Linked DNA regions of Anolis sagrei. The protein of the gene in region 1 interacts with the protein of each later gene in a pairwise test. Links are inferred from orthologs where the notes say so. Each region holds a gene or a part of one and is shown on either strand. Other genes may lie near its edges. The genes, in order: DUSP12, EIF5 and PPP2R3B.

Region 1 (7,167 bases):
ACAGTGGTTTAACCCACTGCGTCACCAGGGGCTCCTGTTTTTGAACTGTTTGGCTGGCAGAAGCTGGGGCTAACAGCGGAAGCTCATGCCGTTCCTCAGATTTGAATCTGCAACCTTCTGATGAGCAAGTTCAGCAGCTCAGTGGTTTAACCCACCGTGCTACCGGGAGCTCCTGTTTGAATACCTAAGTCCCAACTGAAATGCAGAATTCAATGTTTACAAAAGAAAAGCAAGTCTGAACCACTACAGACCCACTAAGAAAATCCAACAAAAGCTACATTCAGCAAAAGACAAGAGGGATCCTCTCACCTCTGCGGGAGTCCACCTGTGGACAAGTCTACATAGGGACCACCAAATGCAGCATTGCCCAAACACAAATCAAAGAACATGAAAGGCACTGCAGAGAAGTCAATGGCTCAACCTGAGAAGTCAATGGCTTCTTTGTGTAGTCTGACATGGTGAATGTTAGAGTGGTCCAGCATTTCTGTCTTCTCAAATAATTTGCTGTGTCCAGGTTGGTTCATCAGGTGCTCTGCTATAGCTGACTTCTCTGGTTGAATTCAGTCTTTCATGTTCCTTGATTTGTGTTTGGGTGTTTCATTTGGTGGTCCCTATGTAGACTTGTCCATACGGTAGACTTTTCCCCCCCAATATGTTTTTAATGCAGACACAGGTAGAATAACATCACAATCCATCACCATTTCAAAATACATATCAAATCTTATTTTCTTAGTGTTCTTAACTTTGCCGATTCTACCTTTATCTCCTACTTGTGTCTACCAATTTTACACCCCTCCCCCCACCTTCTGGGAACAGTACTTTCCTGCATTCAAATATTATTTTAATTGAACAATCGTAGAAAGAGAATGGTTCAGTTCTATATATTTTCCTATTTATTTGACTACCCCATTTCAGAATCCAATTCTTCTTGATTTATGATAGACTCCGTTGATAGTTTGTAACTATCTAAAGACCCACTAAGAAAGTCCAACAAATGCTACGTTCAGCAAAGGACAAGAAGGATCCTCTCACCTCTGCAGGAGTCTATCGTATACCATGCAGCTGTGGAAAAGTCTACATAGGGACCACCAAATGCAGCATTGCCCAAACACAAATCAAGGGATATGAAAGGCACTACAGACTACTTCAACCAGAGAAGTCACCCAAAGCAGAGCACCTGATGAACCAACCTGGACACAGCATATTATTTGAGAACACAGAAATGCTGGACCACTCTCACAACCACCATGTCAGACTACACAGAGAAGCCATTCAAATCCACAAGCATGTGGACAATTTCAACAGAAAGGAGGAAACCATGAAAATAAACAAAATCTGGCAACCAGTATTTAAAAAAACCTCTAAAATCAGAACAGTAAATAAAGAGCAACACTCAGAAATCAGGGGAATTCCAGACAAGAATCAATCAGGGCCAGCCAAAACCTCCCAATAAAAGATTCCCCCTTGCAGGAAGCAACCAGGCTTTGAAGCTGCAAGGTTATTCAATGTTAATCAAGGTGATCAATTGCAGCATTCACACTTGCCTCAAACAGGTAAGAGTTGGTTGTTATAGGTTTTTTTGGGCTATATGGCCATGTTCTAGAGCAGGGGTCCTCAAACTAAGACCCGGGGGCCAGATATGGCCCTCCAAGGTCATTTGCTCGGCCTTCGCTTAGGGGCAACCTAAATCTGAAATGACTTGAAAGCACACAACAACAACCCTATCTCATCAGCCAAGAGCATGCCCACACTTCTGACTGAAATAATAATAGGTTTATATGTTAAAATTGTTTTTCATTTTATTTATTGTATTGCTTTAAAATGTTTTTTTGCAGTACAAATAAGATATGTGCAGTGTGCATAGGATTTCATTCTTTATTTTTCAAATTATAATCTGGCCCTCCAACAGTTTGAGAGACTGTGACCTGACCCTCTGTTTAAGAGAATGTTCTAGAGACATTCTCTCGTGACGTTTCGCCTGCATCTATGGCAAGCATCCTCAGAGCTTGTGAGGTCTGAGTTCTTTGTCCCACCCTGGACATTATTCCACAGGTATATAAACCCCACTTGCCTAGTTTCCAACAAAGATCACAACCTTTGAGGATGCCTGCCACAGATGCGGATTTCAATGGCTTCTCTGTGTAGCCTGACATAGTGGTTGTTAGAGTGGTCCAACATTTCTGTGTTCTCAAATGATATGCTGTGTCCAGGTTGGTTCATCAGGTAATCTGCAACAGACCTCACATCTTCTGAGGATGCGTGCCATAGATGTGGGCGTAACGTCAGGAGAGACTGCTTCTGGAACATGGCCATACAGCCCGGAAACCTCACAGCAACCCAGTGGTCCGGCTATGAAAGCCTTCGACAACAGAGAGGCTGGATGGCCATCTGTGCGTGTGTGGGTGTTCCTGCATGGTAAGAGGTTGGCCCTGGGGTTCCCTTCCAACTCTGTGATTGTAGGACAGGCGTGGGCAAACCTCGGAGGAATTAGTCCAAAGCACCTGGAGGGCCGAGGTTTGCCCACGCCTGTCCCAGGACCTGCTTCCCCCCCTCCTCACCACTGCACCAGGAGGGCGCCCTTCTCCTTCCCCCGGACCCTGTCGATGAAGGCGGCGGCCTGGTCCAAGCGGCTCAGCAGGTCGCTGCCGGGCTGGTCGAGGGCCTCCAGGTGCAGCACGTCCTCCAGCCCCACTTCCCCGGGGGGCTCCGAGTCCACAGACAAGAGGGCCGTGACGCCCGCAGGCCTCTCCGCCGCTTTCCCGCTTTTCCCTGCAGGGCCCACGTACAGCCCCGGAAGGACCTCCACCGTCGTCATGGCCTCTGCCGCCTCCTTCTCCCTCGCCTGAGAATGTGGGAAAGCCATGCCTGAAGCCTTCACTTCCGGGTTTGCTTGAGAAAGTGGGAAGGCCCTGACCGAAGTCGTCACTTCCGGTGTATCTTCACAAAGCAGAAGTTGCACCCTCCAGGAGAGTTTAGCAAGACCAAGGGATCCTAGATTGTCTGTCTTTCCTCCACCACGCTGTGTAATTTGCATGATCCCGCCCACTGCCTCTCCCTTAACCCTTTCCTGTTCTTTTCTATGGTACACCTCAAACGCAGAGGAATTGAATTATTCTGACCCTAAAATGTGTCACTTTGATAGCCGCTGCTGTCCAAGACTATTGCCATCATGTCGTGGAGGAGCCACAGGATATTCACAAATTTATCAGGGCACCCATTTTTCAGGAAGATGGTCCACAAACCATTACGGTCCATAATGTCAAATGTCTTTGCAAGAACCTTAAAAATAGGAAGGGGCTGCAAGGACTATGTAATCCAACTCCACTTTGAAAGAATATGCAATTATATAGTTCCTGAAACAATGTAAAAATTCTAATGCCCTGCAAGTAAAATTGTAGACTAATTGAAGAATAAAAGTGGGCAACTGCACAAAGGGCTGCAACCATTTGTTTTCCAATTTCTTTGTGTGTCAGGAGCGACTTGAGAAACTGCAAGTCACTTCTGGTGTGAGAGAATTGGCTGTCTTCAAGGACGTTGCCCAGGGAATGCCCAATGTTTTGATGTTTTACCATTCTTGTGGGAGGCTTCTCTCATGTCCCTGCATTGGGAGCTGGAGCTGACAGAGGGAGCTCATCCACATTCTCCCAGAATACGAACCTGCGACCTGTCGATCTTCAGTTCTGCCAGCACAAGGGTTCAACCCACTGCACCAAATTATTATTAATAATACAAACAAAGTATGGATCGTTGATGTTGCAATCCCAGGTGAGAGCAGGATTGATGAGAAGCAACTGGAAAAGCTGACATGATACGAGGATTTAAAAGATTGAGCTGCAAAGACTCTGGCACAAGCCAGTCAAGGTGGTCCCAGTGGTCATCGGCACACTGGGTGCAGTGCCTAAAGACCTTGGCCTGCACTTGAAAACAATCGGCTCTGACAAAATTACCATCTGTCAGCTGGAAAAGACTCCCCTACTTGGATCTGCATGCATTATTCACCGATACATCACACAGTTCTAGAAACTTGGGAAGTGCCTGACGTGTGATCCAATACAACAGCCAGCAGTGATCTTGTTTGCTGTATACTAATCTTGTTGTATATCAAATAATAATAATAATAATAATAAATAATAATAATAATAATTAATAATTAATAATAATAATAATAGTTTTATCTGCCTCTCCTGGCACAGTGGGCCATGGCATCATATCTTGGTATACCTGATGTTATACAACATAACTTTCAGCTGCTATGTTGGTTACTTTTCTTTTTCTTTCTTTCTTTCTTTCTTTTTTGATGTTTTTGGTGATTTGGAGGATAAGGAGAAGCAGATCACTGCATTTTTGGTAGTTTTGGAAGAGTTTGACTGGGGTTGGGTAAAAAGAAGTCCAATGAAAAATGGGCTGAAGATTATGGGACACTTTTTGAGGAACCCGACGGCTGTGTGTGGCCTGCACTTTGTCCATCCCTATTTTAGAACATACAAACAAATTCATTTTAATACCAGTATTTCATTAATTGTTTTCCCTATACCAGCTAGAAATCACAACAAGGTCAAAGGAAATAAAAACCACAAGAGACATTAGTGATATTTGCTTCAGTTTTACAATTTAGCAGGAAAGCAGCAGCACTCTTGCATCTTTCATCATCCAGCAAAAAAAGGCAGAGCGCCACATTCAAAGCTAAGGAGAATTTACAAAGCTGACATTTATAGTTGTTTTAGAATTTTAAACAGTTCTTTGTCCAATCTGTATATATTTTAACAGTGAATTCCTCTGAATGTAGCAGCAATAATAAAGGATTCAACATGTAAATCTGATATAGCACTGTTGCATGGAAACCGAATCTTCTTCCAAACTGGTCTGAAGTGGCTGGGAGCAGAGAACGCTCACAGTCAGATTAAAGTATGTCCAATGGGTCTTTCGAGAAAGCAGTTTGTGCAATACAAAAATTGTTGTCATATACACCTAGCAACTTTTCTACGTGATACATCTGAAACAGTTCATTTGGATTTAGTTTACTGATTGCTTATATTCTTCCAAATTCCTCCTTGTAAAAAAATAACAGAGGCAGGATTACCCGCCTTCTGATCTCTGAAAATGAATTAGACCACCATGGTGCATATGGGATTGGCATGTAGCATGTCATAGAGAGTTCGGAAACCAAATGGAATGGCAGGGCTGCATAGTCAGAGGTCCGGAGAAGAGGGGTAAGAGTAGTATGATCCATTTTCCTGTAAAGATACAAAAGATGAATTGATGCAGTGTACACATAAAAACAAATAATCCCTAAATGAAAATCTTTTCCACCACAGCCATTCATTAGGTAACAAAATCTGAAATAAATTCTGTTCTTGGTCTGAAAATGTTCTTTCCTGTTTAATTGTGTGGTACTTACTTTGAAAGTAGTTGTTGTATTTTGTTTTTGTGGCTGCCACAAACTATGTTGAATTGGTTGAGAGTCTATGAGATATTTGTTAAATAAAACTATAGCAAAGTGTGCTGCAAGATGTCCCACAAAAACTTTTTTTTTTGCATTTTAATAAACTTTTACCATGTTTTTATGATAGAACGAATTAGGAAATGAAAATTATAACCCAGAAACAAAAATTGTGTTACACAGTGATATCTGATGGGTAGGCAAAGCATGGCTGTGAGCTGTATGTGCTTCCCAGAGCTGTTTTTGTGCCCCCTAAAGCCACCAGGGCTCCAAACATATTTTTGAAAAACTTCTCAAAAAAGATCAGTAACGGTAAAGGTTTCCCCTGACATTAAGTCTAGTTGAGTCTGACTCTGGGGGATGCTGCTCATCTCCATTTCTAAGCTGAAGAGCTGCCATTGTCCGTAGATGCCTCCAAGGTCATGTGGCCGGCACGACTGCATAGAGCACAGTTACCTTCCTGTTGAAGTGGTACCAATTGATCTACTCACATTTGATGTTTTCAAACAGCTAGGTTGGCAGAAGCTGGGGCTAACAGCGGGAGCTCACCCCGCTTCCCAGATTCAAACTGCCAACCTTTCAGTTAGCAAGTTCAACAGCTCACTGGTTTAAGCCACTGCACCTCCAGCGGCCCCGAAAAAGATTATTTTGCTAATAATGACCCACAATGCCCTTGAGGGGTTCAGGAAGGTCCCAAAACATGGTGAGAATGCCATGTCCTCTAGAGCAGTGCTCGTTAAAAATTTCCACTCAGGACCCTTCTTGACCTGATAAAATTTATATGGGTATAAAACCCATATATTTACTGATAACAAATCAGCATTTGCAAGGCTTTTTAAACAGACTAATTTTCCTTTTTATGAAGTACAACTGAAGCATCTTCTGCAGAGTCTACTGTAAACCCTGAACAACAGATTTGCATAAATGTCTAAAACAGCCATTTTATCATTTTATCTTGTCCATTTGGCCTGCCCATTGTGTTCAATTTTCTATTATGCTATTTTGCTTTGTTTATTTTATTTTGCCACTGTATGTACTTTATTGTGATGTAATGTTTGGTGTTGTATTTTGCACTTTATTTTGCTGTATTGTATCTTTGGGCTTGACCTCACGTTAGCTACCCCAAGTCCCCTTCGGGGAGATGGTGGCGGGGTATAAATAATGATGATGATGATTATTATTATTTGAAACACAACAAGATAATCCACAGCGGACAAGATCACTCTGCTGGCTATTGTATTGGGTCACATGTTGGACACTTCCCAATAATAATAATAATAATAATTATTATTATTATTTCTCCCTTACTTCAAATATGAAGCCCCTTGATGAGCAACCTTAAATAAATATTTGATAGGCTTTGAGGTTTTAAATCTTGAGTTAAGTTTTGCCAGTCTGCTACATCAAAAGATATTTAAAAAGTGTCTGTAGTAAATCACTGGCTTAGATAATGTAGTTTAATAAGAAAATATGAAAAAAAAACCTATTTTGGTAAGAAGTACTTTCACACCAACACAAACAGAATCAGTTTAAAGCAACTTTCCAGTCAAGGCACATGCTATAATAATTCTATAATCTTTCCAAGCAAAGAGGAAGAAAGCCACTTTTATACCTGATTTATGAAACGAATGAGATAAAGTCTAGAAAGAACAGACATTTATATCTTGAAACTACCTACCCTGGTATCATATTCAAGAACAAATGGAGGAAAGTCAATCTGTTCAGGG
Region 2 (7,078 bases), on another chromosome or scaffold:
AGAATTCTTAACAGGTCTTACAATGACTTTAACAGATAACCAAAGCTAACAAAATTAATTTCAACAAGGGCAAATGTAAGATACTACACTTAGGCAGAAAAAAAATGAACCGCAAAGATACAGAAAGGGTGCTGTCTGGCTTGACAACAGTCCATGTGAAAAAGATCTTGGAGTCTTTGTGGACAAGAAGTTGAATATTAGGCAACAGTATGATGTAGTAATTTAAAAAGCCAATGGGATTTTGGGCTACATCAAAAGGAGTGTAGTGTCTAGGTTGAGGGAAGTCATTAAACAGAGGTTGGATGGCCATCTGTCGGAGATGCTTTGAATGCAACTTTCCTGCTTCTTGGCAGGGGGTTGGACTGGATGGCCCATGAGGTCTCTTCCAACTCTATGATTCTATGGTGCCCCTGTATTCTGCTTTGGTTAGACCTCACATGGAATACTATGTCCCGGACTGGGCACAACAGGTCAAAAGAGATATTGAAAAGCTCGAATGTGTCCATAGAAGGGCGACTAAAACGATCAAGGGTCTGGAGATCATGCCCTATGGGAAGCGTCTTATAGAACTGGGTATGTTTAGCCTGCAGAAGAGAAGACTGAGAGGAGACAAGATAATCATGGTTAAATATGTGAAAAGGTGCCATAAGGAAGATGGAGCAGGCTTGTTTTCTGCTGCCCTGGAGACTAGAACTCAATGGAGCAATGGGTTCAAAATACAGGAAAGGAGATTCCACCTGAACATTAGGAAGAACTTCCTAACTATAAGCGCCGTTCAACAGTGGAACTCTCTGCCCTAGATTGTGGAAGCTCCTTCCTTTGGAGGCTTTTAAACAGAGGCTGGATGGCCATCTGTCAGGGGTGCTTTGATTGTGCTTTTCCGGAATGGCAGGTGGTTGGACTAGATGGCCCATGTGAAAAAAAATTATCAATATTATATTATATACAATATAATATATTATTAGCATAGCACAAAATTAGTATTATAAATTACTAATGGTTTTCTATATTATCTATTTTTAATTTTTTCGTGTCAGGAGCGACTTGAGAAACTGCAAGTTGCTTCTGGTGTGAGAGGATTGGCCGTCTGCAAGGATGTTGCCCAGGGGACACTCGGATGTTTTGATGTTTAGCATCCTTGTGGGAGGCTTCTCTCATATCCCCGCACACTTCAGCTGGGAGTTGAGGTTTCACAAAGACTTTTCTGTCACATAGTCCTGGTGCCTCACTAAACTATGCTGTTGTTGTTTATTCATTGTCGCTTCCGACTCTTCGTGACCTCATGGACTAGCTCACACCAGAGCTCCCTGTCGGCTGTCACCACTCCCGGCTCCTTCAAGGTCAAGCCAGTCACATCAAGGATACCATCCATCCATCTTGCCCTTGGTCGGCCCCTCTTCCTTTTTCCTTCCATGTTTCCCAGCATAATTTATTTATTTATTATTTATTTACGGCATTTATATGCCGCCCTTCTCACGCCGAAGGAGACTCAGAGCGGCTTACAAGTAAAAAGTAAATATATTATATTATTACCACAGCACAATATTAATATTATATATTACATTGTACTATAACATTATACTGTAATATTATCAGTAATATTACATTAATATAATATATATAGTATCATATTATTAGTAGTATTATTATATTTTATTACATTATAATATTATCAATATTATATGTATATACAATATATTATATTATATTACATTATATCATAAGCACAGTGCAGGAGACAAGATGGATATGTATATACAATATACTATATTTTATTTATTTATTTATTTATTGTGTCAGGGCAACCAGTCGATTATATTACATTTCTAACATAACAAAGCTAACAAACAGACAAAATACAAAATTTTCAAGCTTGGTAGCTGATTAAATGTCCTTTGACCAGTAGCTGGCCACTTGGGGTGCTTCTGGTGTTGCTGCAAGAAGGTCCTCCATTGTGCATGTGGCAGGGCTCAGGTTGCATTGCAGCAGGTGGTCAGTGGTTTGCTCCTCTCCACACTCGCATGTCAAGGATTCCACTTTGTAGCCCCATTTCTGAAGGTTGGCTCTGCATCTTGTGGTGCCAGAGCGCAGTCTGTTCAGCACCTTCCAAGTCGCCCAGTTTTCTGTGTGCCCAAGGGGAGTCTCTCACTTGGGATCAGCCACTGGTTGAGGTTCTGGGTTTGAGCCTGCCACTTTTGGACTCTCGCTTGCTGAGGTGTTCCAGCGAGTGTCTCTGTAGATCTTAGAAAACTATTTCTAGATTTAAGTCGTTGACGTGCTGGCTGATACCCAAACAAGGGATGAGCTGGAGATGTCTCTGCCTTGGTCCTTTCACTATTGGCTGCTACTTCCCGGCAGATGTCAGGTGGTGCAATACCAGCTAACCAGTGTAATTTCTCCAGTGGTGTAGGGCGCAGACACCCTGTGATAATGCGGCATGTCTCATTAAGAGCCACATCCACTGTTTTAGTGTGGTGAGATGTGTTCCTCTGGGCATGCGTACTCAGCAGCAAAATAGCACAGCGCAAGGGCAGATGTCTTCACTTTATCTGGTTGTGATCCCCAGGTTGTGCCAGTCAGCTTTCGTATGATATTGTTTCTAGCACCCACTTTTTGCTTGATGTTCAGGCAGTGCTTCTTGTAGGTCAGAGCACGGTCCAGAGTGACTCCCAGGTATTTGGGTGCGCTGCAATGCTCCAGTGGGATTCCTTCCCAGGTAATCCTCAGAGCTCGGGATGCTTGTCTGTTCTTGAGATGAAAGGCACATGTCTGTGTTTTAGATGGGTTGGGAATCAGCTGGTTTTCCCTGTAATAGGCAGTGAGAACACCTAGAGCTTCACATGTGAGGATTCCACTTCAGAAAGCTTCTGTTCTACCATCTCAAAGCTCCCTGCTTGAGCAGTAATGGGTAAATGCAACGTGCTGACAATCTTAGGTCTCTAGTAAAGTGCTTCTGGGACGTGTTGCTGGAGTTTCCTATTCTGGAAAGGCACACCAGATAGCCAAGTCTTCAAGTTCTTCCTATATTATATTGTATTACATTATAATATATTATCTATATTATATGTATACACAATATATTATATTATATTACATTATATCATAAGCACAGTGCTGGAGACAAGATGGATATGTATATACAATATACTCTATTATATTATTAGTAAAGACAAGATGGACATGTCTTCTGCTCCCCTCTGTCTTCTCTAAGCTATATGAGAACAAGCCCTATGAGAAGCGGCTTAAGGAGCTGGGCATGTTTAGCCTGAAGAAGAGAAGGCTGAGAGGGGATATGATAGCCATGTATAAATATGTGAGAGGAAGCCACTGGGAGGAGGGAGCAAGCATGTTTTCTGCTTCCTTGCAGACTAAGACGCGGAACAATGGCTTCAAACTACAAGAGGAGATTCCATCTGAACATGAGGAAGAACTTCCTGACTGTGAGAGCCGTTCAGCAGTGGAACTCTCTGCCCCGGAGAGTGGTGGAGGCTCCTTCTTTGGAAGCTTTTAAGCAGAGGCTGGATGGCCATCTGTCAGGGGTGATTTGCATGCAATATTCCTGCTTCTTGGCAGAATGGGGTTGGACTGGATGGCCCATGAGGTCTCTTCCAACTCTTTGATTCTATGATTCTGCTCCCCTCAGTCTTCTCTAAGCTATATGACAAACTATATGTCCCAGGAATTCATATCATTGCTTTAATTCCATCCTGAGGCTTCTGGCTATTGGGAATTGTGGGAGTTGGAAGTCCAAAACACCTAGGCCTGGTCGAGCGCTTTTCCTTCTAACCAGCCAGGCACTGACTCAATCTCCCTTCTCCCTTGCACAATGGAGCCCAGCTCTCGCGAGACTTGAGTCCCGCCTTGTCAACGCGATGTCCTTTTTTCGATGGGTGGGGGAGAGAGAGAGAAAAGAAGCAAAGGGAGGCGACGAGGAGCTTGATTGGCGGGTGGCGGGAGCCAATGGAACGCGCCCACGCCGAGCGCGGAACCAATCGCGGGCCGGCGTGGGCGTGGCCTCGGCGGCGGCTGATTAATCCCAGCCTTGGCGACGGGGCTGTTCAGTCGGCGCGAGAACATTCTAGAGGTAAGTGCTCGGCGGCCATTGCTGCTGCCCCTCCTCGGGCCGCCGCCTGGAAGGAAGCTTTGGCGCTGACTGTGTTTCCTCATCCACAGAGTCCCCGGCCCGCCCGCCGCTCCCGCTGAAACCCCGCTGAAGCCTCGGTGAGGACGACGCTCGGGCGCCCCGCTTCCCCTCCTCCTCGGGCGGCTGCGGCGTCCGCCTCCTCCTCCTCCGTGCTCCCCCTCCCTCCCTCGCTCGGCCGCGACCAGCCGCCCCGTGAGACCCCGACACCCTCGTCGATTTTCTCCTCGCACCGATTCGGCTTCGTCGCAGCCCGGGGCGAGCAGCGTTGGGTTTATGTCTGTATTGGACGAAAACGGTGAGTAGGCCTCTGAGGGAAATGAAGGGAGGAAGGGCGGTTGAACATCCGGGGACTCTGGTGTGTGTGGAAGGTTCTCTTCTTTGTCCTGAAGGGGGCGCTGTTTCGTAGGCGAAGCGCATTCCAAGAAGCTGTAGAATGGGCATGGGCACCTTGGGCCCTCCAAGTGTTTTGGACTTCAACTCCCACCATTCCTAACAGCCTCAGACCCCTTCCTTTTCCCCCTCAGCCGCTTAAGCGGCTGAGGGGGAAAAGGAAGGGGCCTGAGGCTGTTAGGAATGGTGGGAGTTGAAGTCCAAAACATCTGGAGGGCCCAAGTTTGCCCACGCCTAGTGTAGAATAATAATAATAAATGTGCATTTGTCACCTGCCTCTCCTAAAGGCTCAAGGTGGGCAAATTTGGGCCTTCCAGGTGTTTTGGACTTAACACACACCATTCCTAACAGTCTCGGGTCCTTCCTAAGCAGTTGAAGAGGAAAAGGAAAGGGCTTGAGGCTGTTAGGAATGGTGGGAGATAAAGTCCAAAATACTTGGAGGGCCCAAGTTTGCCCATACCTGCTGTAGAATAGTTATTATTATATAATAATAATAATAATAATAATAATAATAATAATACATTTGCATTTGTTACCCGTCTCTCCTAAAGGCTCAAAGCAGGGTACAACAAAACATAGGAACATGAAATGCAGCCATCCAGCATAGGAACACATCAGTCCAACATAAGGACATGAACTACATCCATCCAGCATAGGGAGGCGTAATATATCCATCCTACATAGTGCTTCAAAATGTTTGGTATTTGAGCATCCCGCGCTTTTGAAAATCTACTCCTTGGATCCTAATACATCAGTCCAACATAAGGACATGATGTAGGGAGGCGAAATATATCCATCCAACATAGTGCTTCAAAATGTTCGGTGTTTGAGCATCCCTCGCTTTTGAAAATCCACTCCTCGGATCCTCAGAACTGATTTTCAAAACCCAAGCGATGCTTAAACACCAAACGTTTTGAAGCATGAAATGCAGCCATCCAACATGGGAACACAAAATGCATCCATTCAACATAAGTACATGAAAATACATCCAGCTATCATAGGAACATGAGATAAATACATCCAACATAGGAACATGAGGTACATACATCCAACATAGGAATATGAAATGCATCCATACAACATAGGGACACGAATTGCATCCATACAACATAGGGACACACAATGCATCCATACAACATAGGGACATGAAATATATCTATCCAACATAGGAACACAAAATACATCCATACAACATAGGCACACGAAATGCATACATACAACATAGGAACACAAAATACATCAATACAACATAGGAACACAAAATACATCAATACAACATAGGAACATGAAATACATCCATACAACATAGGAACACGAAATACATCTATACAACATAGGGAGACGAAATTCATCCATCCATAGGCACACAAAATGCATACATCTAACATAGGGACACGAAATACATCCATCCAACATAGGGACACGAAATGCATCCATCCAACATAGGAACAATAATAATGAAACTATATGTATCCTGCTCCTCCCCCAAAAGAGCCGGGGGGGAGGGGTGGCTTGCAACAAAAATACATTATACATAGTAATAATCAGCGACCAAAGCAACATAAATCAGTAAATTGTAGTAGAAATACAAAAGCAACCACAAACACTAATTACAACATCAAAACATCACAGTAAGTATAAAATTATGTGCCGAAATAAAACATACACAAGAGGCAAAAACTAGCTCCTATTAATAACCAATTAAAATACGTCCATCCAGCATATGAAAATAAATACATTTACTTATTTGTTTATTACAGAGATTTCTTTCTCCAGCACAAAGCCAATGCGACTCACATCATATTTAAAACATACATAGAAATTGTAATAAATGTATTTTATATTCTGCCACCATTTCCCAGAAGGGACTTGGGATGGCTTATTTAATTACTTTAAATAATTAAAAACCATCATTACACAAGTATTAGGGGTTCATTAATCCTTAAAAACTTTCCGTATTATTGAACATTAAATTCAATCTAAGATTCCCCGTTCTTCTGTATCTATAAGTGCCTGGCTTCGGTTAAAAGCTGCTTCAAAGGAAAGTCTTTACATCTTTCCTAAATGTCATGAGGGTGGGAGCGAGTTCCACGGCTTAGGAACCGCACCCAAGAATGTACCTTCTCTAGTGATCTTTAAGTGCATGTTGGCCAGGGACTGAGTCAGAATCAGGGTCTCCTTACTAGACCGTATAGGAGGACACAGTGTCCCAAGTAACCTGGACCAAACTTGTGTAGGGCTCTATAGGTCAAAACCAGCACCTTGAATTGAATAGAAATACATCCATCCACCATATGAAATAATATCCACAATATAAAATAATAATAAATAAACTTTATACCCCGCCTCCATCTCCCAATAAGAGACTTGGAGCAGCTAAAATACATCTATACAATCATAATCAAATGAAGGTTTTGGTGAGGGGGACACGAAAGACATGTTTGTGTGGAATCTGGGAAAGGTGGTTTGTAATCCCTGAAACTTTTAGAATAAACCTGTGAAGCGTCTGTGTTGAGAAAGGCCCCATCTACACTAACCTATTAA
Region 3 (7,382 bases), on another chromosome or scaffold:
GGCACCTTCGCAAAGCCCAGAAAATGGCGCAGCAACCCCCAGGTTGAGAACCTCTGACCTAGATCTTTCCTGACACGATGTCCTGAAGCCAATGGTTAGTTTCCACTAGATTCCATTATAGTCCCAATTGGATTTATCCTGGGTATTGACTCATCTTTCAACAATTAGTGAGGCTACTCTAAGGCCTAACAAATAGGATTGTAGTTCTTGTTTGATAAGTCAGTATCAGGAGGGAGGAACTGCGCAAAGAATACTATACATCCATAAAAACACTGACCAGTGGATTTATGGTAACCACAAGAATTTCACAGGGTTTTTAAGGCAAGAAATTGAGTCGCTGTAAGGCTGAGAAAGGGGCCCCACAAATGCCTTAAATAAATAAATAAATAAATAAATTCTTAAGAGTAGTTTTGCCAGTTTCTTCCTCTGAAATACAACTCACATCACCTGATACTCTTTTTTGGTTTGCCATCCAAGTGCTAACCTGGGCTGACCCTGCTTAGCTTCTAAGATCAACTAGGATTTTGTGCCTTAAGTTTAGGATATTCAGGTTTTTACCGCAGACACTTTCCAAAGTTCATAATGTGGATTCAGCTTTGTTTAGAAAAACAACTAACACAGCACGGAATATTACTACAATATTATTGCAGCAAGATTTTTATATGTGGAAAGATGGAAGACTGTTTTATTGGTAGAATGGCTGTTAGGGCTGAACAATGTAGCAGAAATTGACAAATTATCCATTTTGATTAGAGAAAAACAAAGATATTTTTGAAAGATTGGGAACACTAGCTGCCTTCTTAAAGAAAATAGAATAGATCCTCCATAGCCACAGATTCTGTATTCACTGCTTGAAAATACCCACCCCCCATTCCAAAAATTGTTATTTTTGATTATGCTATTTTATATATTGTCACACAATGGTGTACTGGGTCAACTCATGCTCAAAATATATTCGAATGGCTCTGCATCTCGTGGTGCCAGAGCGCAGTCTGTTCAGCGCCTTCCAAGTCACCCAGTCTTCTGTGTGTCCAGGGGGGAGTCTCTCATTTGGTATCAGCCATTGGTTGAGGTTCTGGGTCTGAGTCGTTGATGCACTGGCTGATACCCAAACAGGGGATAAGCTGGAGATGTCTCTGCCTTGGTCCTTTCACTATTGGCTGCTACTTCCCGGCGGATGTCAGGTGGTGCAATACTGGCTAAGCAGTGTAATTTCTCCAGTGGTGTAGGGTGCAGACACCCCGTGATACTGCGGCATGTCTTATTAAGAGCCACATCCACTGTTTTAACGTGGTGAGATGTGTTCCACACTGGGCATGCATACTCAGCAGCAGAGTAGCATAGCGCAAGGGCAGATGTCTTCACTGTGTCTGGTTGTGATCCCCAGGTTGTGCCAGTCAGCTTTCGTATGATATTGTTTCTAGCACCCACTTTTTGCTTGATGTTCAGGCAGTGCTTCTTGTAGGTAAGAGCACGGTCCAGAGTGACTCCCAGGTATTTGGGTGCGCTGCAATGCTCCAGTGGGATTCCTTCCCAGGTGATCTTCAGAGCTCTGGATGCTTCTCTGTTGTTGAGATGAAAGGCACATGTCTGTGTTTTAGGTGGGTTAGGGATCAGCTGCTTTTCCCTGTAATAGGCAGTAAGAGCACCTAGAGCTTCGGAGAGCTTCCGTTCTACCATCTCAAAGCTCCCTGCTTGAGCAGTAATGGCATGATCATCAGCATAGATGAAACTCTCTGTCCCTTCTGGCAGTAGCTGGTCATTTGTGTAGATGTTGTACATGGATGGAGCAAGCACGCTCCCCTGAGGCAGGCCGTTCTTCTGTTTCCGCCATCTACTTCTCTGGCCCTGGAACTCAACAAAAAAGCTCTTGTTTTGTAGCAGGTTTCTTATGAGGCGGGTGAGGTGGTAGTCCTTTGTGATATTACACATTTTTCTCAGAAGGAGGCAGTGGTTCACAGTATCATAGGCTGCTGACAGGTCTATGAAGACAGCTCCTGTGATCTGCTGCCATTCAAAGCCATCTTCTATGTGCTGAGTCAATTCTTAGTTGGAGTAGTAAAAATGTATAGGTTTGGTCTTATAATCACCAGAAGGAAAGAAGTCTGTTTCCTTCTTGTTTCCACCTGCTCTGTGTTCTTTTTTTAAATCTTTGTATGTGTTTGCACACTTTTAGTTTGAGTATATTTGTGAAACCCCAAGAAAAACAGTTTGAAGAAACAAGCAACTAGCACTCCTTGCATTTCCAAACATAGAGTGAAATAGTCTGCGCGTTGGACTATGACTGAGGAGACATGGGGTGCTGCTACACTGCAAATTCAATGCATATTGATACTATGCCATGACTCAATGCTATAGGGTCCTGGGAGTTGTAGTTTTATAAGGCCTTTCGCCTTTCTTTCGTTGTGAAAGAAGAGGAATCTCAAAATACAACACCCATGACTCTATAGCAGGCATGGGCGAATTTGGGCCCTCCAGGTGTTTTGGACTGCAACTCCCAAGCGGCTGAGGGAGAAAAGAAAAGAGCCTGAGGCTGTTAGGAATGGTGGGAGTTGCAGTCCAAAACACCTGGAGGGCCCAAATTCGCCCATGCCTGCTCTATAGCATGGAGCAATTACAATGAAAGTGTTGAACCGCACTAATTCTACAGTGGAAGCCCAGAGGCTGACCTTAGGTGAGTTACACTCTCTCAGCCTCAGAGAAAAGCCATGGCCAAGACCCATTGCCAGGAAAGCCCTGTGACTGGGTCGAAAACCACTTGAAGGCATACAGAAGCAGACTCACACAGAAGCTTTCCTCCGCACAACTGATGCCATCGTGGCCTCCTGATTTCTCGCACAGGGATAAACTCACCTTTCGAAGCTGCCAGCAACCCACAAGCCCTCTGGCAGCGGGCAAAGGGCCTGTCCGCCCCAATTTAGACAACAACAAAACACGCGAGGGAACCCAAGCCCCGTCTTCCCTCCCAGTCTGACTGCGAGCCGTTGGTTTCTTCTGAGTGGAGTTCCAAAGTTTTCTGTTTTGGTTCCTTCCGCGCATGCGCGCTCCGATGGCGCCTGCGCACTACGGGCAAGGGGACAATGAACGGGGGCGGAGAATGTTTGGATGGAAGCGCGCGCGCCGTGCATTGTGCCGAGCGGCGTGTCCTCGCGCTTGGTCCTCCGGGTCTTTCGGACTTCAATTCCCAGAGGCCCTCAGCACTTGCCAAGCTTGCAAGGGCTTCTGGGAGTTGGGGTCCTCGAAACCTAGAAGCCCAACTGTTCGAAAATCTCTGATGTAGAATCTCTGATGCATCTACACCAAGCATGGGCAAACCTCGGCCCTCCAGGTGTTTCGGACTTCAACTTTCACAATTCCTAACAGCCGGTAGGTTCAGCAAAAGGCAAGAGGGATCCTCTCACCTCTGCAGGAGTCTACCGCATACCATGCAACTGTGTATAAGTCTACATAAGGACCACCAAACGCAGCATTGCCCACACACGAATCAAGGAACATGAAAGGTACTGCAGACCAATTCAGTCAGAGAAGTCAGCCATAGCAGGGCACCTGATGAACCCATCATCATCATCATCTTTATTTATACCCCACCACCATTTCCCCAATGGGGACTCAGAGTGGCTTACATGGGGCCAAGCCCAGGACAACATGTTACAGCAAAATAAAATCAAAACATAAACAACAAGCAACATAATCAAAATTACATAGAAGAAGAAAAAGTATAAACATAGTAACAAAATAAACACAATCACGATAACAGTGGGCGGGCCACATGTACAGGATGAAATGATTAAAAGACTCTAATGAGATAAAAATAGGAGTAGGTTATGTGCAGGGAGCTCATAAAAACACACAGGGTTGTGAAACTAAGAATAATCTACATTCTGAACATGGAAAATCCCTGGGGATGTGTGGACAAAAGAGAAAGTCTGAAGAATGATAGGTAAAGGTAGTCCCCTGACATTAAGTCCAGTCATGTCTGACTCTGGGGTGTGGTGCTCATCTCCATTTCTAAGCTGAAGAGCTAGCGTTGTCTGTAGACACCTCCAAGGTCATGTGGCCGGCATGACTGCATGGAGCGCCGTTACCTTCCCGCTGGAGCGGTACCTATTGATCTACTCACATTTGCATGTTTTCGAACTGCTAGGTTGCAGAAGCTAGGGCTGACAGCGGAAGCTCACGCCACTCCCCGGAATCGAACCTGCGACCTTTCGATCAACAAGCACAGCAGCTCAGTGCTTTAACCCACTGCGCCACCGGGGGCTCCCCTGAAGAATGATATAGTCTCTTAAATGGAGATCATATCATTAAATGGTATTATCTGTTAGCTAGAATATTGGAGACCAAATGACTTATTATGAATAGCATTCATATAAAGGCAGTCTCCGAGTTACAAACATTACATAACTCATAGTTAAGAACAGAGGTGAGACAACAGGAACTGGACACAGCATATTATTTGAGAACACAGAAATGCTGGACCACTCCAACAATCACCATGTCAGGCTACACAGAGAAGCCATTGAAATCCACAAAGCATGTGGACAATTTCAAAAGAAAGGAGGAAACCATGAAAATGAACAAAATCTGGCTACCAGTATTAAAAACTCTAAAATCAGGACAGTAAATAAAACGCAACACTAAAAAACAGGAATTCCAGACAAGAAACAATCAGGGCCAGTTACCTCCCAACAAAGGATTCCCCCAAGCAGAAAGTAGCCAGGCTTTGAAGCTGCAAGGTTATTCAATGCTAATCAAGGTGGCCAATTGCAATATTCTCATCTGCCTCCAACAGACGAGTACTTCTCCCATCCTGGACATTCCACAGATATATAAACCCCACTTGCCTAGTTTCCGGCTACCTCTCAGGAGTCCCCGGTGGCACAGTGGGTTAAACCCCTGTGCCGGCAGGACTGAAGACTGACAGGTCACAGGTTCGAATCTGGGGAGAGGCAGATGAGCTCCCTCTGTCAGTTCCAGCTCCTCATGCGAGGACATGAGAGAAGCCTCCCACAAGGATGATAAAACATCAAAATCATCCGGGCATCCCCTGGGCAATGTCCTTGCAGATGACCAGTTCTCTCACACCAGAAGCGACTTGCAGTTTCTCAAGTCACTCCTGACAAGACAAAAAAAAAAAAAAGACAGATCTCACAACCTCTGAGGATGCCTGCCATAGATGTGGGTGAAATACCAGGAGATAATGTTTCTGGAACATGGCAATACAGCCCCGAAAATTAACAGCAGCCCATTGATTCCAGCCATGAAAGCCTTTGACAAGAGCCGGTAGGCTGTTAGGAATTGTGGGAGTTGAAGTCCAAAACACCTGAAGGACAAATGTTTGCCCTTGCCATGGCTTTATGTTATGGGATGGTAGGGGTTGTGGTTTAACAAGGTCTTTCCCCTTCTTTGCCGAAGAGTACTGGCGTCTCACTAAAATGCGACTCCCAGGATTCTATAGCATTGAGCCATAGCGATTAGATTCTACAGTGTAGATGCCCCTTAGGTCAGGAATGAGGAAGAAGAGGACTTCAGGCTGGACTTCTTTTCTGTGAACGTGATCATATTCCAACCCTGCATCTGTTGATTGTGAATCTTTCTTCGTTTTTGTATAAGAGCCTGGAAATATAAAATGTGTTTTGTGTTTTGTATTTAAGAATTCTTAATCACCCATAAATTTTAAATTCTGTACTCTTTTGATGTTATATGCTCTTTTAAACTAATGTTTTCACTGGTTTATGTGTTTTCAATGGGTGTCTGTTGTATTTTAATATGTTGCAGTTCCCAGCATTGGTCTACAAGAGAAGTGGGTAAGACATTCATGATGATGATGATGATGATTTATAATAATAGAGAACTTCTTCCCATTTCCTTTGCTAGTGTTTCAAATCCCCTCTAATCAATGTATTAATTTTTTCCCATTAGTGGACAATCACCATCACTACCACCACCATTATTATTGGAGAGCTCTTCTCCCAACTTTCTTTGCCTACATTTCAGATTCTCTCCCAATAGTGTGTATTTTCTTGTGTATTTTCTGTCTAAAATGACTAAATGTATGTTGTAGTTTTGAGACACCGGCTTTGTGTGACCATTTTTAGGGGTGCTTTGGCATACCCTTTATTGCCTCCTTCCACACCGTCATTCCTTAATGCAGTTTCCCAACCATTTCTTGTGAGTTTGATACCAATATCGTAAGGACCACACATTTTCTGTCTCTGACAAGAGGAAAAGACAGCCTATGTTGGTCTGTAGTATTGTATGAGCTCTGCACCTTTACTAACTTCTGGAAGAGGACAATTTGCATTCAGGCTAGGTGTCAGTGGGGTTGAAATAGTACATTTGTTTCTCATCTAGTCATCCCTGAGTTTTGATGGGTGACCTTAATTTAGGTGTGCAACGAAGCAATAGTTTGAGGCAAGTAAGGAGAAACTGGGATCAAGAAGACCCCTAATCTGGATGGAGATTTATATTTGGTTTTAGGCAGGATTGTACTTCTTCCTGAAAAACCAGTTCAGTTGCCTAATTTCAATCACCAGGAACCTCTTCTTCCAGCTTAGATCAGTGTGCCTGTTGCGGTGCTACCTGGAAAAAGGTCTCACTCACAATTAACCTACGTACTGGTTCCATCCAAACTATGAAAGCCTCCCTTTTTAGTACAGTCCTTAACTAAGAGCACATCTGCATTGTAGAATGAATGCAGTTTGACATCACTTTGAACTGTCATGGCTCAATGTTATGAAAACCTAGAATTTGTAGTTTGATGAGGTACCAGCAGTCTTTGACAGAGAAATCGAAAGACTTGTAAAACTACCACTCTCACAATTCCATAGCATATGGTAGTTAAAGCGGTGTCAAAGTGCATTAGAACTACAGAGTAGATGCACCCTAAGGTAGTAATTACTTGCAGATATTACAAAGTCAGTTTGGCATTATGCTTTCATCAGGAATCCCGGTTTCAAGTCCCCACATATCCGTGGAAATACACTGGGTGGCTTTGGGCAAGTCACATTCTCTCAACCTCAATGGGAGGCCATTGAGGTTGCCCCCTCTGCATAGATCTTGCTAAGAAAACTGTGACTGGGTTAACTTGAAGGCAAACAACTGTATTACAAAGAAGCTTCTAAAAGCAGTCTGCTTTCTAATGTCCATTCCAATGTAGCAGACTTTAAATGTCAAGGCAAATGCAACAGGAGATGGAAGAAGGAAACGGGTTGCCAGGGCAATGGGGGGAAAATTATCTAACAGTCAGTGTGTAAAGTAAAGGAAAACAAGAAATTCTTCTGTATATTCAGAGAAAAGCGGTGAAGGACATCAGCAACAACAGAGATAAAGCAATGGAACAAGAGCAAGTGATTTTAATAATGATCTCTTAGGAAAAAATA

What was found.
Region 2: the proteins of DUSP12 (region 1) and EIF5 interact in binary tests that used the Homo sapiens proteins (3 or more experiments, as listed by UniProt). The two-hybrid records come from large-scale screens. The link is inferred for Anolis sagrei from reciprocal best matches to the Homo sapiens genes DUSP12 and EIF5.
Region 3: the proteins of DUSP12 (region 1) and PPP2R3B interact in binary tests that used the Homo sapiens proteins (3 or more experiments, as listed by UniProt). The two-hybrid records come from large-scale screens. The link is inferred for Anolis sagrei from reciprocal best matches to the Homo sapiens genes DUSP12 and PPP2R3B.

What each region holds. Positions count from the first base shown.
Region 1 is NC_090022.1:199,090,767-199,097,933, reverse strand, and holds the start of DUSP12 (dual specificity protein phosphatase 12), read right to left. Parts: upstream 3,062-7,167; 5' UTR 3,035-3,061; coding exon 2,559-3,034; intron 1-2,558. Other genes in the region: GDAP2 (ganglioside-induced differentiation-associated protein 2), read right to left, coding at 5,190-5,234, 7,119-7,167. UniProt on the Homo sapiens protein: Dual specificity phosphatase; can dephosphorylate both phosphotyrosine and phosphoserine or phosphothreonine residues. Can dephosphorylate glucokinase (in vitro).
Region 2 is NC_090021.1:327,805,703-327,812,780, reverse strand, and holds the start of EIF5 (eukaryotic translation initiation factor 5), read left to right. Parts: upstream 1-3,980; 5' UTR 3,981-4,084; intron 4,085-4,173; 5' UTR 4,174-4,439; intron 4,440-7,078.
Region 3 is NC_090023.1:99,404,235-99,411,616, reverse strand, and holds the start of PPP2R3B (serine/threonine-protein phosphatase 2A regulatory subunit B'' subunit beta), read right to left. Parts: upstream 3,052-7,382; 5' UTR 2,854-3,051; intron 1-2,853. UniProt on the Homo sapiens protein: The B regulatory subunit might modulate substrate selectivity and catalytic activity, and might also direct the localization of the catalytic enzyme to a particular subcellular compartment.